Linked DNA regions of Lepisosteus oculatus. The protein of the gene in region 2 interacts with the protein of the main gene of each other region in a pairwise test. Links are inferred from orthologs where the notes say so. Each region holds a gene or a part of one and is shown on either strand. Other genes may lie near its edges.

Region 1 (7,281 bases), on a different chromosome or scaffold from region 2:
CCCCAGTAGGATGGGGAGCTGTTCCGATTCTGTCAGGGGTGGGAATTCTGGGATTAGATTTGTTATCTTGGGGAAGACTGTTTGTCTAATCCCCCGAGTATTTCTTACAGTGCAGCGGAAAGTGCGTCTCTGTCTCTGCTTCTCCCAGCTGTCCTCTCGGGGCAGCCAGGTCTGCCTGTGTCTCCTAGTTTCTTTCTCTGATCACTGAGCCTGTCCTCTCTGGGCAGCCAGGTCTGCCTGTGTCTCCTAGTTTCTTTCTCTGATCACTGAGCCTGTCCTCTCTGGACAGCCAGGTCTGCCTGTGTCTCCTAGTTTCTTTCTCTGATCACTGAGCCTGTCCTCTCTGGACAGCCAGGTCTGCCTGTGTTGCCCAGTTTCTTTCTCTGATCACTGAGCCTGTCCTCTCTGGACAGCCAGGTCTGCTTGTGTCTCCTAGTTTCTTTCTCTGATCACTGAGCCTGTGCTCTCTGGGCAGCCAGGCCTGTACTTCATAAGTATCCCGGTCAGTGGTATGTATTGTCTTTTTAGGTCCCAGTACTCTTTCCGGCTTGTGCGCGTCCCAGTGGGGGAGGTAGTATTATTTGGGTTGTGCTGTGATGTGGTTTTGGAGCTGTCCTGAGGCCTGGCTGGAGTCAGTGTGGCTCAGAGCCGGGAGGCTGTGCCTTCTCTCTCACGCACACACTTGCATGTGCATAGGAATGGCTGCTCAATGCAATGCTATTAACATGGGAGAAATCTGCCTGTGATCCCATTTAGTGCAGCCAGCCTGGGAGAGGAGCACTTGTAATCCTGTTACAGAACTACAGTCCCTCCTCAGCCGGCAGCGGGCTGTGGGCTGTGAGTGTGTGCAGGCTTGTGTCAATCTGAGTCTCTGAGCACGCGGCGCCTGTGGGTCAGCACACCTCTGTGATCCATCGGCTCTCCCAGTATCCATGTCTGAGTGTGTATGGGAGCGATGGAGGGTGCGTGTGTGTAAGAGAACCAGAGAGAGAGAGAGAAGTGAAGTGACAGCGCTGTGACACAGGGCAACCCTGCTCTGCAATCAGTGTCAGCTTTGTTTTTATTACGGTTATTAACGGCTCATACCGCATTCGTTCCTCCAGACAGGGATGTGTGTGTGAATGAATGAGGGGCAGAGAGGGAGGGGGCAGGGAGACTCGGGAGAGAGAGAGAGAGGTGGGGATACGCCATGGAGAGCAAATATCTTTGAGCACCTCGGGGTCCACTGTGAGCTTTGTGCACACACAATCTCTTATTGGGCCATAGAGATGAGTGGAAATTTCAGCCGAGCAAAACATTAGCAGTTCGACATTTCTCAGAAATGTGCTTGAGATCTTTATCATCTTTTGGCATGTTAAATTAAGCGCAAGCCACTTCTTTCCTGGTGAAACAGCATGGTGGAGAAAAAATACTGTCCTACAGCCTCTGTTGCGTGCTGTGTGAATACGACATACTGTAACAAACCCCAAATGTTTAAGCAGTCCTCCTTTATTTTGCATGTCATGTCTGCATTCCTATTTGTCCCATTATTAAAAATGCATTGTGTCTTCAGTATATGAAGGTCATCGAAGACATTAGATGAAGAAGTTTGAGTAGGGAGATGTGTCAGCATGCGTAAGATGCAAAGGAACAGGTAAAGGTTTATTCCAGGCTGAAAAAGAGAGACAATGTTTTGGCTTGTCTTTCTTCCTTTCCCTTCAGCATGGAATAAACCTGTTTCTATGACACTAGATACCCGTCCATGTGCTTACTCTTTCCAGCATTGTGAGTGACAGCAATGTGATTTCGTTCACACAAGTCGCTGGCGCATTAGCAGTGGAGCATCGTAAAGGACATGTCATAGCACCGCTGAACAGAGGGGCAGAGAGATTCAAACAGACAGAAAGACAGCTGGCAGAGGTAGAGAGAGCTGGAGGAACAGAGGGAGGGAGACAGAGAGCTGGAGGAACAGAGACAGAGAGCTGGAGGAACAGAGACAGAGAGCTGGAGGAACAGAGTGAGAGACAGGATAGGCAGAGAGCTGGAGGAACAGAGGGAGAGAGACAGAGGAGAGGCAGAGAGACAGAGAACTGGAGGGAGAGTGTTGAATAATGTAGTTAATTCTGTGAGAGTTGCAGGAACAGAAAGAGGAAGAGGAAATGATCAATACTGCTTGAATATCTGGGAGCAAGAGACAGGCAGGGGAGATATAGGGAGAGAGGGAACATGAGTGCTGAAGATTTTTGAGGATGGGGAAGGGGAGGGAGAGAGGGGAAATGTAGAAACGTTCTGTACATTTCTGAGCCCCCTGAGCTGATGGCACCCGGCCAATGGCGTTCCTCCCTAGTTGTCAATTAGGAAATAATAATTAGAGACGGAGTGAGGGCACTTAGCGAGAGAGAGGAAGGGGTGGAGGGAGAGAGGAAGGTGTGGAAATAAAGGTATCAGCAGGGAGTCAGGAGCAGAGGGGAGAGAGGAGAAGGGAGGGATAGAGGAGTCAAGAAAGAGCAGTGGGACAGGACGAAAGACAAGGCCAGAGAGAGGAATGCAGTACATGGAGAGAGGCTGGAACAGAGGCACCAGGAGAGCTGAGAAGGGCTGTGGAGACAGAGAGATCGAGGGGCACCGAGAACGCGAGAGCAGCCATCAGCACGCCTACAGCACACACACACACACACACACACACACACACACACACACACACTGCTGACGGCAGCTGGAGCAGAGCCCATCCTCCTGCCCCGCGAGAGCCGCCCAGGTGTGGGGAGGACGGAGAGGACACGAGCAAAGGCGCGAACGACCCCCCCCCCAGCCTGCTGGGTGGACAGGCCTGCTGTACGGTCTGCGCGCTCCAGCTGGGCGCTAGGAGCTGTGGCCCACAGCACGGGGAACTGGGTAGTACTTTTCCAGCGTCTCTTCAATGACATCTCCCTCAGGAAGGAGCTCACCAGCGCCAGTCTCCGGGCCGGAACGGGCGGCGCTTTTGTGAGAAGAGCCGCACTGACACACCTACAGCCCTGAGCTCGGCGCTTGTTTGTACCCATGTGCCCGGCTTGAGTGACGCCTAAACGAGCCGTCCAAGCTGCTCGTTCGTACTCATGTAACATTCAGGCGCCTCCTGAACGTCTCTCTCGCTCAGCTGCCTTCCCTGCCTCTACCTGTCTTTCAGCGCTCAGCTGTCTCCCTCTTCTCCAGGCCTGCTTAGTGTTTCAGCTGTCTCCCTGGCTCCCCTCTCCCTAACCACACACACACACACTTCCTCCTCCGCGCAGACGAGGTTCCAGTTGGTTTGCTGGCGCGCTTGTTGACTGCTTCAGATTAGTGCCACAAACACGACAAGCACTCGCGTCTCAGCGCAGTGAGGTCGGCATCAGTGGCTTCACACTGGAGCAGTCTCATAGCAACACGGGGCCGCCACCGGCTCTCCCTCTCCCTCCCCCGGCTCGCCAGCCCTCCCGTTTCTTCCTGCTCCCCTCAGCGCGCCTCTCCCCCCTCTCCCCCATCTCCTCTGCCCCCCGTGTCCCCCACACGGTCCCACTTCCTCCTTCTCCCCACTTCCTTCCACTCACCTGGACTCCCAGTTTCCTCTCTCCCGAATCCCTCCACACCTTCCTCCTCTCCCTGTCCCTCTCTCCTCTCTCTGTCCCCTCCTCTCTCTGTCCCTCTCTCCTCTCTCTGTCTCCTCCTCTCCCTGTCCCTCTCTCCTCTCTCTGTCCCTCCTTCTCCCTGTCCCTCTCTCCTCTCTCTGTCTCCTCCTCTCCCTGTCCCTCTCTCCTCTCCCTGTCCCTCTCTCCTCTCTCTGTCCCTCCTTCTCCCTGTCCCTCTCTCCTCTCTCTGTCCCCTCCTCTCCCTGTCCCTCTCTCCTCTCTCTGTCTCCTCCTCTCCCTGTCCCTCTCTCCTCTCTCTGTCTCCTCCTCTCCCTGTCCCTCTCTCCTCTCTCTTTCTCCTCTTCTCCCTGTCCCTCTCTCTTCTTTCTGTCTCCTCCTCTCCCTGTCCCTCTCTCCTCCTCTGTCTCCGGACAGTGTGTGCTGTTCACTGGAGTTGTGCGTTCCCAGGGTTTGCTGCAGTGTCGGAGAGCCCTGCCAGCACACACACACACAAATACAGAAACAGAAAAGACAGGCAGAACTGCAAGGTAATTCTGTATCCACAGAGCGAGAGAGGGAGAGGGAGAGGGAGAGGGAGAGAGAGAGAGGAGGAGGAGGAGGAGGGAGGGGGGTTTGAGCAAGCGAGCAGATGAAAAGAGAGAGAGAGATACGCTGTCCGGAACAGCAGGAGAAATTGAGGCTGGTGGAAATTTGGTCTCTGTTGCTTCAGCCTCAGCGTCCTGAATTCCTCTCCACACGGACACAGCTGATCCCACTACCTGCTCCGGCACCTTGCCTTCCGGACTGCTCGGATTGAAGACACGGTGCACTTACAGCACACAGGCGTCTGCTGGCGGCACCACTGTCGTTAGTAATTGAAACACAGCTTCAGGAGGTGCTGGGTCTCTCTTTTCAGCCTTGTTCTCCTCTTGCTCTGCCGATTTGAAGATTAACCCATATTTTGCTGCTGTTAATGATGGGGTATCTCGTGTCGCTGGTACCCGGGCTGCCTTCCTGAGACACCCACCTGGCTGGAGATCTGGAAGTTTTTTTTTTTAACGACAAGCAGAGGCAGCAGGAGGGAGATTGCTATGCCGAGATTGCTGAGGACTAATTAAACGAGAGAAGGTGGGCTTCCCGTTCCCGTCGGCAACGCTTCTATCGGGATCGGAGAGGCCACTGCACAGCGCAGCCCGATCCCGCCCAGGTCCGGCTCCGGCTGTTCTGCAGGGACCTGCTTTCTGGACTCGGCGGCTCTTCTCTCTGGGAGCAGCGTGGAGGACCCGGAAAAGCGAGCCTGATTTATTCCCCCACCTCCATCCCCGGATCCCTCCGCTTGTTCCAGCTGCTGGCCTGGTCGCCCTCGGAGCCCGGTCGGGTCCCGTTAGCGAACTGCTCCTCGTGTCATTGTGTGGCGTGTTCAGCCCAGGTCGTGAGCAAGCCCACCTGCCTCCTGCCTCCTGCCTCCTGCCTCCTGCCTCTGTGTGTGTGTGTGTGTGTGTGTGTGTGTGCACGCGCTGTGTTGAAAATGAAAGAGGCTGTGATTTATCTGTAAGCCGAGGGGGGAGACACAGGGAGAGGTGCAGCCGAGCTCACAGTCTGCTCCAGGTTCGTGCTGCACAGGTCTGTGTTTACCGGGAAGCTGTGTGGCCATCTGACCGTCTGACACACAGACAGGGGTCCTAGGGCTCGTGCCAGGCTCCTGTGCTCGGTGAGTAAAGAGCATTTGTGATTTGGTCGAGATATCCGGGCTGCCTTAAGCGCGTGGTTGAATTCAGCTGCAACCAGGCCATTTTGTTATCCTTCGTGCATTTCGTGTCATATTGTCTGAAGGCTCCTCGTGCTTTAAAATAGAATTAGGTAACCTCTTGGCAGGCGTTTAAAAAAGGATTAGAGAGAATCATCACACAGCCCTGTGGCTTCCAGCGGGAAAGTGCTTACATTGGTTTCCTCCTCTACCGGTCTGGCGTTTTTATTTCATGCTCAGCTGACAGATAAGGCATAAAGCAGCAGATTTGAAAAGAAACAGAAATCCTGCGTTTTTTTTTTTCCTTCAGGAGGAACAGATGCTGAAGTTGCTGTAATCTGGGGCTCTCTGATACTGCAGCAAGAGAGAGAGAGAGAGCACCACCTTGTTGGAGCACTGGGATTATGAGATGAATATTAGATTAATATTAAAGGCTTATATTCACCAGCTTTGACCGATAAAGACACACACACAGACAGGGAGATCTGGCTGTCAGGCAGAGACACAGTCATCTTAAGTAAGTTGCTTTCATGGTCAGTTACTTGTTGAATGCCTTTTTTCAAGAAATGCATTGAAGGAGAGAGACAGGATAATACAGCAACACTGTAAGATAGGTGTTGGAATGAAAAAATGTAAATATACATGTAATTTTATCTATTAACTTATTTTTCCTTAAGTGTTTCAGTATTTGCTCTCACCTGTTCATTAGGACTGTAAGAGCCTGCTCTTTGTCAACAGCTCAGCAGTTCTGATTGAACTGGAGAGACTGGAGTGAAGATGGCTTTCACCTTTAGTCGGCATAGACACAGCATTTAAATCCAGTCCTGCCTGGCCACTTTGCTATGATCTATTGATCCCTTATTGATTTTGCCATTGGTCAGAAAGAACAATCCCAGGTGGTATCTGTGTCAGGATCTTTTATTAAGACATTAGCCTGCGGGAGGTAATACAATTAAATTCAATTACAGACAACAAATACCTTGACATTTCAGTAGGTAACCAGGAAAGAGACAGAGGGGAGTAGATTTAGGGGGAGACAACGTTTAAAACAACGACCCGAGAGAGAAGACTAGGAGAAGGAGCATCGCAGTGTTACAGGACATGCCCTGTGGCCATCTGGCACACGGTGGCTGGGAGGGGCCATGAGGACTGGCCACCAGCGTTGTCTCTTGTGCTTCCTCTCTGGAAGGGGACAGGACTGATTTCTCAGCTCAGGGAGCCACTACAAGAGCCGCAGACAATTGCACAGACAGTTCCAGGCCTCCCCAGGCACTGATGTGTATCTTCTACTGATGTGCGTTTAAGCCCGTTGAAGGCCTGCTGTGGCCTGTGCAGCTCTGAGAGCCGTGGATGCTCCAGGCTTGTAGCTGTGGCTTCAGCACCCCAGGGGAGGTTGGGCTGAGGGCTGTGATCCCTCTGTGCACCGCAGAGCTTCAGAACGTCCTGCACAGCTAAGCGACTGGCTCCCACAGCCCAGGGGAGGACCGGCGCTCGGGGCTGGGGTGAGACCTCCGAGGAGCATCTCTCTAGCGCCGGGCTCGCTTCGCTGTCCTCTCGGGCCCGCTCAGAGCCTGCCGGTCGGCGAGCTGGTCAGTCTGCACCGGCTGCACTACCTGCTGTGGTCTCCTGGTTTACTCTCCCGGCCTGTCTGCCCACCTGTCCAGCAGTCAAGGCCTGGGACCCGGCGGAGAGACACCCCCGTGGAAAATGCTGCGTGGCTTAAACAAGTCCACCGATGAGCCTGGCAGTTTCATGTTAAATGAGTTGAAGAGGCTCAAGAGAGAGGCCCTGTAGAGAGAGAGAGAGAGAGAGAGAGAGAGGCGGAGGCCAGGACAGATCCTGAGCCAGAGAGTGCTCACAGGTAGAGCTTCAAGCCCGAGGCGGTCCAGGACTGAGCTGGGGGGGAGGGGGGCGTGTCGATGGAGTGTCCGGTCCTCTCCTGTCCCCCTGGGTGAATCCATCGGCACT
Region 2 (7,980 bases):
CCTATCTGTCGCCTAGTCCCCCTCTTTGTCTTATTGTCCCTCTCATCCTTCCTCCCTTGTCACCCCCGCTCTGGAGCCTGCTATCCAGAAACATTGTGGCTATACCTTCTCTGATTGCTCCCCGGCACCTCCTAAAGACCCTACAGTAAATATCTGATTTTTATGCGACTGATTCAAAGCAACAGCCTTCATTAGAAAGGCAGTTACCCAGTTTGAAACATTTGAAACCTAATAAGTATACATAGCAACATATCACTGAGCGGCTGATGTCGGCTGGCCAATAGCCCCTCGCACTCCTTGAGCTGCCTTAGGAGCATGGATTCTTCTTTTGGGTGGCTTCAAGGTGTGGCCCCCAATGCCTGCAGAGGCCATACTGCCAATATTTCTTAAATTAATCAGATTTAATTGCTAACATAATTAAGATAAATACAGCTTAATTACAGAATGACGTGGGGAATAACCTGCTGCCTTTTATCACCTTACTAGTAGAAGGAAGACAATTTGCCAAGTGATGACCTAAAACAAGGAAGTAAAGGCTTTCAACGCCTGAGAGCAGAATCTACACATGACAAGTAGGACAATGATTAATAAAGTATATAGACATATGATGGTGCTAGTAAACAGTACTTCTGCCAAACTTTGTGCTCAGCGACAAACTTGAGAAGAGCTTTGTTAGGGCTCTAAAGCAGTTAGGTTTTGTTTTGTATTTTGACAATTTACTGCTATTTTCCTTTCTAATTAAAGACACTAATTCTAATTCAGCTTGTGTGTCACGCATGAAAGAGCTGTAAAAGAAGATAACTGAGTGAATTAGTTATCATGGGTTGTAACACACAGACGTTTTTTTTTTGTCCTGGGTAGCTGACACTAAAGTTTATGTTCTGGAAATGGGTGGAAGATACATTAACACTTAATTTGTGGTGGAAGGAAGTTTGCAAAGTGATGCAGAAAGTGCAGTAGTTGATTGCTAGCACTCTAGAGATTAGGAGATCTTAGCATTAATCTACTGCTTCCATGCTTGGAGAAAGACAGCATAGAAGATACAGCATTCTGCTATCCAACACACTTTCTCCTTAATACACCACAAATATGTCCTTATTTTACTTTTTAGTTTAGAAATAACCTTTAACTTTTAATTTGAAGCTCACATGCCAACACAGCTCCGTACTCTGAACAATCTGGGTATTTTATTGGTAAAATTGTTTTTTTTGTATTTAAAATTGTACTAGGATATATCTGACTTATATGAAAGCTAAAAAAATATTATCCGACTAGATACCTGAGATAAGATACATTAACCAGACACCTAATGTCAAGGGGAGAAAAAAGGCATTAAACTCAAAAGGTATTCAGTTACAGGTCCCAGGCAGTTCCTCAGAGATCTTTACTGACCTGAATCCTTTCCTTCTGCACTCCTGAGGGGGCAATGTAGATGTGATCTCTGAAGGGGTAGGCCAGAGAGATACAGTCAGAACACAATCTCATTAAGCATTTGCTTCTAAGTGAAGTAACAAGAACTACTTGCTTTATTTTAACTGAACAAGACAGTTACTGCCTTTATCCAATGAGAAGTTACACCTGTCTTCTCCACAATAAAGAATGTAATCTATATCACCTGGACACTCTTTTTTTAATCTAACACATGAACATGACAAAGGACTGTCTTCACCTCAAAAAAAAAACATACCAGTATAAATCAGACACATTTTAAAGTAACTTACAGGAGGGATTTTATCTTGATGAAATATCCCTGTTACACACATTCACACCTGAAGAAGGCTCCACGGCCAAAACGTGTTTTTTTTTCTTTTCTTTTCAACATGGAATAAACCTATTACTTGTTCCTATAACACTGTTATCCTGTTTACCTCTTGACAACCTCTTTATACATTTGTGATATAGATGCATTGTAGTGCACATGCTTCTACTGCTTCAGCCTCAGTAGATTTAGCACACTGTTGACTTACTATTTAGGCTCACAGCTGAGAGAGTAGACGGTAGTCTCCTGTAAGAGGGCAGTGACTCCAGACAAAATGGAGATTCGGTTTGCAAGGACAAGTGGTCAGGTGAGAATTTAAAAGGGCTGAGGCTTGACAGGGTCAGCCTCTGGCTTCCTTTCCTCACGCCTAGCGCAGCACGCACAGTGGAGGATCTGCGCTCTGTCCCCAGATGGCAAGGCGAGTTACACCTTGAAGACATTTTGTCTGGGGTCACCGGCCTCTCACACCTTCCCAAACCTGAATGGGCACAACTGAATGAAGATTGTCTTCACTTCATACTCTTTCTATGAAATGGCATTTGTTCTCTGAATTGGTGCTGCACACTGGATGACCACACCAGATTTCTAAGCTTCAGGCTTGGCATACTCACCCCTGCCTGAGACTGATACCCCCTCCTGTTCCTGTCACCCAGCCTAACTGGTAGAAGAGTTTGCAGAGCTCAGGAATCAGCAACCTTGGGTTGTCCTTGTCCTGGAATGGAAAATATTCACTAAAACAAACGGCAATCTCATTCTGTCTCAAGCAAATTCCATTACTGTCCAGTCAGTTCAAGGAGTAGGGCACTAGGGAGTATTCTTGACCACCATCCGGTGCAGAGCAGCTCAACATCTGTGCTGTTTTTGTTGCAATATACTGCTCATTTCTTAATTGTGCAAGGCCACAACTCGCAAATAAAATACATGTCGAAGGTATCTGTCACGTGAGTGATTATTTAATTGTGGAACGTCATAATAATTCAGCGGCAATACCACAGAATAAACGCTAAAAGGGACAATTAGCACATTGCATTATGTGCGTCTGTTGCTTGAAAGTTTCTAAAAGCAGGCTGACCACATGGCAGCGTAAACGACGTTTATATCATCGACATTCGCGTTGTCCGGATTTAAAGGGGGGGAAAACTTCAATATTGTTACGTAACGTAAACACATTTTATATTTCTGAGAAAGCAACTTTGGATAAACTTACCTCAATAGATTGGGCACATTTAGAGCAGTCGCGATTATAGACCGCTGAAGACATTTTTAGCAATACTCTTCGGCAAATAAAAATTAATGCCTAAATTAAGGCCTAAACTTGCTTTCGTTCCTTGACCGTGTACTTGGTCACAAGAACGCCTTAAAGAACAGGACGATGAAAACGAAAACCGCTCGCCACCCACCCCTCACGTTTTTGAGGCACAGAAAGTCTAAACAGTACAGCCACTATGTTGGTTTTCGATGGCTGCTGCTCCCTGCTGCTCCCTGCTGCATAAGTCTGCGCAGCGTCTGCACAGATCTGCACAGGTCCGCTTCATGTGACGTCGTATGTGACGTCACTGCGCAGCCCCGGTCAGTAAACTCGGTAACTCTGGAAGACAAGATGCGCATGTTGCTGGTATCATCGTGAGGCACAGCTTGCTGGATCATCTGCAGCTCTGAAAATCTGAATATTATCCAGCCCACAAGTACCAGAATTAAACTAACTGAACATTTCTTTTTGTTTAATTGAGAAACAAATGAGTGTTCCTAAGATGCTAATGATTTAACCTATAAAGGCTATAGGAACTGGGGTTCTGTGTACCAGAGAGGTAAACTGACACCAGAGATATACTGACACTGCACTTGTAATTACTGTCAGAAGTGTTAAATTACCTTAGGTGTGCCTCCAGTCTGTTGTTCTTCCCCCCTCACAATGTATTTTTGTGAAACAAAGGTTGTCAAAATACAGCAGAGAAGCAGGCACAACATTGCAGGAACTCCTCCTGCTACAAACCCTTCTCATCCAACACAATAAGAGATGGAGCAGGTGACCACCTATTCAGCAAAAGATGAGGTAAGCAGGATGTGGATGTGAAAAGGTATCATCCCAACCTGCTTTATTTACTCTACATTGTGAAATCCACATGTTACAGTGTGACATGCCGCATTCCTGTGTCCAGGGGACACATTTTCACAAGAAAACCCCTGGCTTGAGGTGGAGATTACATCAACTACAACTCAAGGGCAAAATGAACACAGGTGCACAACTCTGGTCCTCACAAGAAGAATCCAGCAAGGGTTAATATCCTACTTCCTCCTACTTTTTTTAGTAGCTTGGGTGTTTGGGTACCAACTGATAATGTTTTAAGGAGGGAGCTGTATAACACACCTACACTGAATTAAACTGGAAGGGCTGGGCTTTGCCTGCGCATATGCAACAGTGCGGAGTTTGCAGACTTTTCTGGCTTAGCAGTCGAAATTTGCATGCAGCTCTGCTCTTGCCTGCCCGACCGCCGAGTGCAGTGAGATCTGCGCAGATCTGCAGGCTTTGCGTATAAAGGAAGCGACAAGAAGCGCGAAGGACCTCTTCTCATGGATGGGGTCCTTCTATCACAATTGTCGTTTGTTTTTGTAGTTAGTTATCCTGCCTAAATTTAAATTGTTTTATTTAAAATAAGTGGGAAAATGTCATATTTTCGTTAAACAGCACTAACGTGAAACATGCAGTAAAAAACGTATCCATTCATTTCTGCACTCAGAAACGCAAAACTTTGAAAGGCAGTAGGGTAACTGGTAATTTCCGAGGACACAAATATGGCGGCCTCCTTGCGGATGGGACATCGGGGGATATTGAGTGGTTTGAGGTTAATAAAACTGAAGAAATGCACCGGTTTAACCCAAACTCAGGATGGATATTATCGGCACTTTTTTCAGTCCTCACCAATGTTTGGTAAGTGTTGGCGTGTCACATGATAAAAACCAAAACGCACATCGCTGGCTGGGTTATAATGGAAGGTTGTGTGCTACTTGTACTGCTGTATTTTATTTTTACGCTGTTTTAAAGTTTTTAAAGCGTTAAGACTAGCACGCACGGTTCCCCTTCTAAATTGTAGTACACGTACAAGCCAGAAATAGACAACAGACGGGGACATTTAACGTTGATCATCTCAAGTTACTGTACACATTAGGAGTTTAGATTTTAATTCATAAACATAACATTGCAGTTCTTTATATAGTGCATTAGATCAAGCAATAGGTTTATTCCTGCTGAAAAGAGAAGAATGGGAACACAACGTTTCGGGTGTTGAGCCTTCTTCCGGTGGCACACCCTTCCTCCACCGTCCACACCCGAAGAAGGCTCCATAGCCGAAACGTTGTGTTCTCAGGAATAAACCTTTTCTTGTTCCTTTGCAGCCTACGCATGCTAACGCAGCTATACAGCTGGACTACTTCACAATATGCATTTTATGTGTATTATGTTATATCTTGTTGTTGATTTATGTTGGAATAGGCTGGGGGTAATCAGCATGTTTGCTGTAGCATTAGTTAACGGCAACCTCACCACCTTGTTGCTGATCCCTGCATGTTTCTATTACATAAACTTTGTAAAATTGAGTATATGAACAAAACTATATTAAACTGCATAGTCCACTCAACACTATTTCTACCTTTCATTATGTTATGGTGCTGCTTGTCTAAAGGAGAAAAAAAAGTCTTCTGTCTGCTAAAGGGAGACAAAGGCAATATGAAGGTTATGTGATAGAATAGTAGCCAACCTAAAACTGGGATGAAAACTCGCTTTTCATCAGAGCAGTGACCCACAAAATGAGTCCAAAGCTACATTCAAGTGGAACAACAGAAAGTGAGTGCTATTGAGTGTTCTAGTCATGATTCTGACTTCCATCCAATGGAAAGCCAAGACTTTGAAAATCGGCCATCAATAATAAGTGTCGGTGAGAACAGTCAGCTGCAGTATACATCCTGTTATTTTATTCATTATATCTTTCCAGGTAGTGAGAAGATGAAAGAGTAATCCTTACCAAGTGATTATGAACTCCTATCATTTTTCATACATGATTTGTGTCATATTGTTACTACTTTGTGATTAGTCTTTAAATTCTGCAGGAAAAAAAAGAGAACATTCAAGGCATGCTTGTCTGCCCCCTTAGAGCATAGCAGTCCTTTGTATGATGTTCTGCTTCAGGCCCTGCATCACACAGCGTCGATTAGTACAACTGGGGTTGGCTGTCCCTTTCTTGTTACTGCTTTGGTTACTGTTCCTTTGCATGGCCTTCATGTTGCCTTCATCAGTGCTACATGTTTTAATTTTGCATGGCTATCTCTCTAATGCAGTTTGTTTTCTCCTTATAACCATGCATTATACCGGTCTAACTTGCTAGATCTAAAGCATCATGTACTATTAGGATATGGTGTCATTGACGATTTAGTCTTTAGTAGGTTTTAAAAGGTATCGTAGAACTCATTAACAAAAAGCAATCAGAACAACTGGGTGGAAAGCATTTTAAAAGAAGTGCTAATTCGATCATTGCAATAGTAATGAACAATAATTCCATTTTGTTGTGATTCTTCAAAGGGGCTGCAGGGGGCAGCAAAGTCTCTTTGCAATTGTTTTTTAATCACGGTTTACTTTTTGTACTGAGCCTCCTCAAGAAGTAAAGTTGGCTCTGACCCTTCATCTAGATACCCTGAGTGTTCTTAGACCATTCCAGTCTATCGTCTATTTTGTTTTTCTTGAAGTAGTTTGGGACCTCAGCTACTTGGTTGGGAGAGCAGAAATCCACAACTCTTTTTGTCAAGAAGGATTCTGTTATTTTTGTAGTCTACCTTAAATTAATTCCCTGCTACTTTCCAGTTGTGATCCTGTATTCATTTTTGGTGAAGTAGTCCCCTGGGTTAACTATGTTTGCTGTATATTGTACCCATTACAGTTTTATACACATGTAATACATCTCCTCTTGCTCTGTTGTGTTAAAAGCAAAGACATGCTGCTCTTTTAATCTGTCTGGATAAACCAGTACCTCTTGAGGTAAGGACTCTTGTTTGTCTTGGTTGTCTGAACTCTTTCCATGGCTGTGATATCCTTTTTGTGGAATAGTGTGCAAAACTAAGCACAATATTCAAACTCATGTGTTACAAATGCTTTACAAACCTTAACCATAATCTTCTTTTAAATTAAATGCTTTATACTTTGTGGTTTGGGGTCATCAAAAAATCTGCAGGAACATCCCTTCATGTGTGGTTTCCCACTTTAGAATCATCCAGTCAACTTTTTGTACAGTGCTCTCTTTCTTTTTTCTTTTTTTTTTGTCCAGTACCATTAAGGCTGTTTTTTCTAGACCTGGACTTTTTGCTCCAGGATTTTTTTTTAACCTTAAACATTACATTTGTTTGGGTCACATAAATTGGGTTATACATAGTCCCGTAAAGTTTTTGTACGATTCATAAAGTGTGAGAATTAATTTATTTATTGGTAACCCTCCTCCTCCACCCATCTCTGTGGCTGCTGCTGCTTGTAAGAGTCGGTGTGTTTCCTTCTGTCCTTCAGGAGTGGCCCCAGTCAAAGTGATGATGCCAGCTCTTTCCCCCACCATGGAGGAGGGCAACATCGTCAAGTGGCTGAAGAGGGAAGGTGAGAGAGGTCCTGTCTGCTGCAGCTGTGTCATAACAAAAGGAAATAAAGGAGTGCTTCTGCTGCAAAACGATACGTTTGGAGTGTTTTGTCCTACAACACAGTCCACCTGTGGTCTTCCTTCTTTATTTCACAAGTTCATCCTGCTGGCGGTTGAGCTTATTAAACATGTGGAGTGATATTCGAAAAAAAGAAAAACACACAGAAAGGATTCTATAAACCCCTATGTTCATCCATCTGTGGGGAGCTGGACTATGGCAGTGTTATGATGTTATGGCCCGATGCGGTCCATCAATAATAGGCTGTGATCTGGGAGACCACGAAGTCGTAGTACCTTGTCAGGATTGGTGGGGAGGCCCATGTGGAAAGGTCTGGTACCGTTTAGTTGTTGGAGCTCCACTTGTAGCACTGTACAGTCAGATTGGGCCCTCACTCTCCCGGGTGAAGGATGTGGTCTCATACTGACATGACAGCATTCCAGTAGGATAACTCGCATGTGTGCATCTGCTGCTTCTTGACAGTGGCTTTCTTGCGAGAAGAGAATTTTGTAAGAATGCTGTGGCTGCCTGAATGTGCAGACTGGAGCCCTGTT

Evidence for each region.
Region 1: the proteins of apip (region 2) and PDZ domain-containing protein 4 interact in a two-hybrid assay, tested with the Homo sapiens proteins (2 studies listed by BioGRID and IntAct). The two-hybrid records come from large-scale screens. The link is inferred for Lepisosteus oculatus from reciprocal best matches to the Homo sapiens genes APIP and PDZD4.

What each region holds. Positions count from the first base shown.
Region 1 is NC_090697.1:74,993,778-75,001,058, reverse strand, and holds the start of PDZ domain-containing protein 4, read left to right. Parts: upstream 1-4,182; 5' UTR 4,183-5,277; exon of another isoform or gene 5,278-6,051; 5' UTR 6,052-7,281.
Region 2 is NC_090716.1:14,265,708-14,273,687, reverse strand, and holds the start of apip (methylthioribulose-1-phosphate dehydratase), read right to left. Parts: upstream 3,256-7,980; 5' UTR 3,021-3,255; coding exon 2,967-3,020; intron 2,472-2,966; coding exon 2,371-2,471; intron 1,442-2,370; coding exon 1,393-1,441; intron 1-1,392. Other genes in the region: pdhx (pyruvate dehydrogenase protein X component, mitochondrial), read left to right, coding at 4,553-4,688, 7,305-7,388. UniProt on the Homo sapiens protein: Catalyzes the dehydration of methylthioribulose-1-phosphate (MTRu-1-P) into 2,3-diketo-5-methylthiopentyl-1-phosphate (DK-MTP-1-P).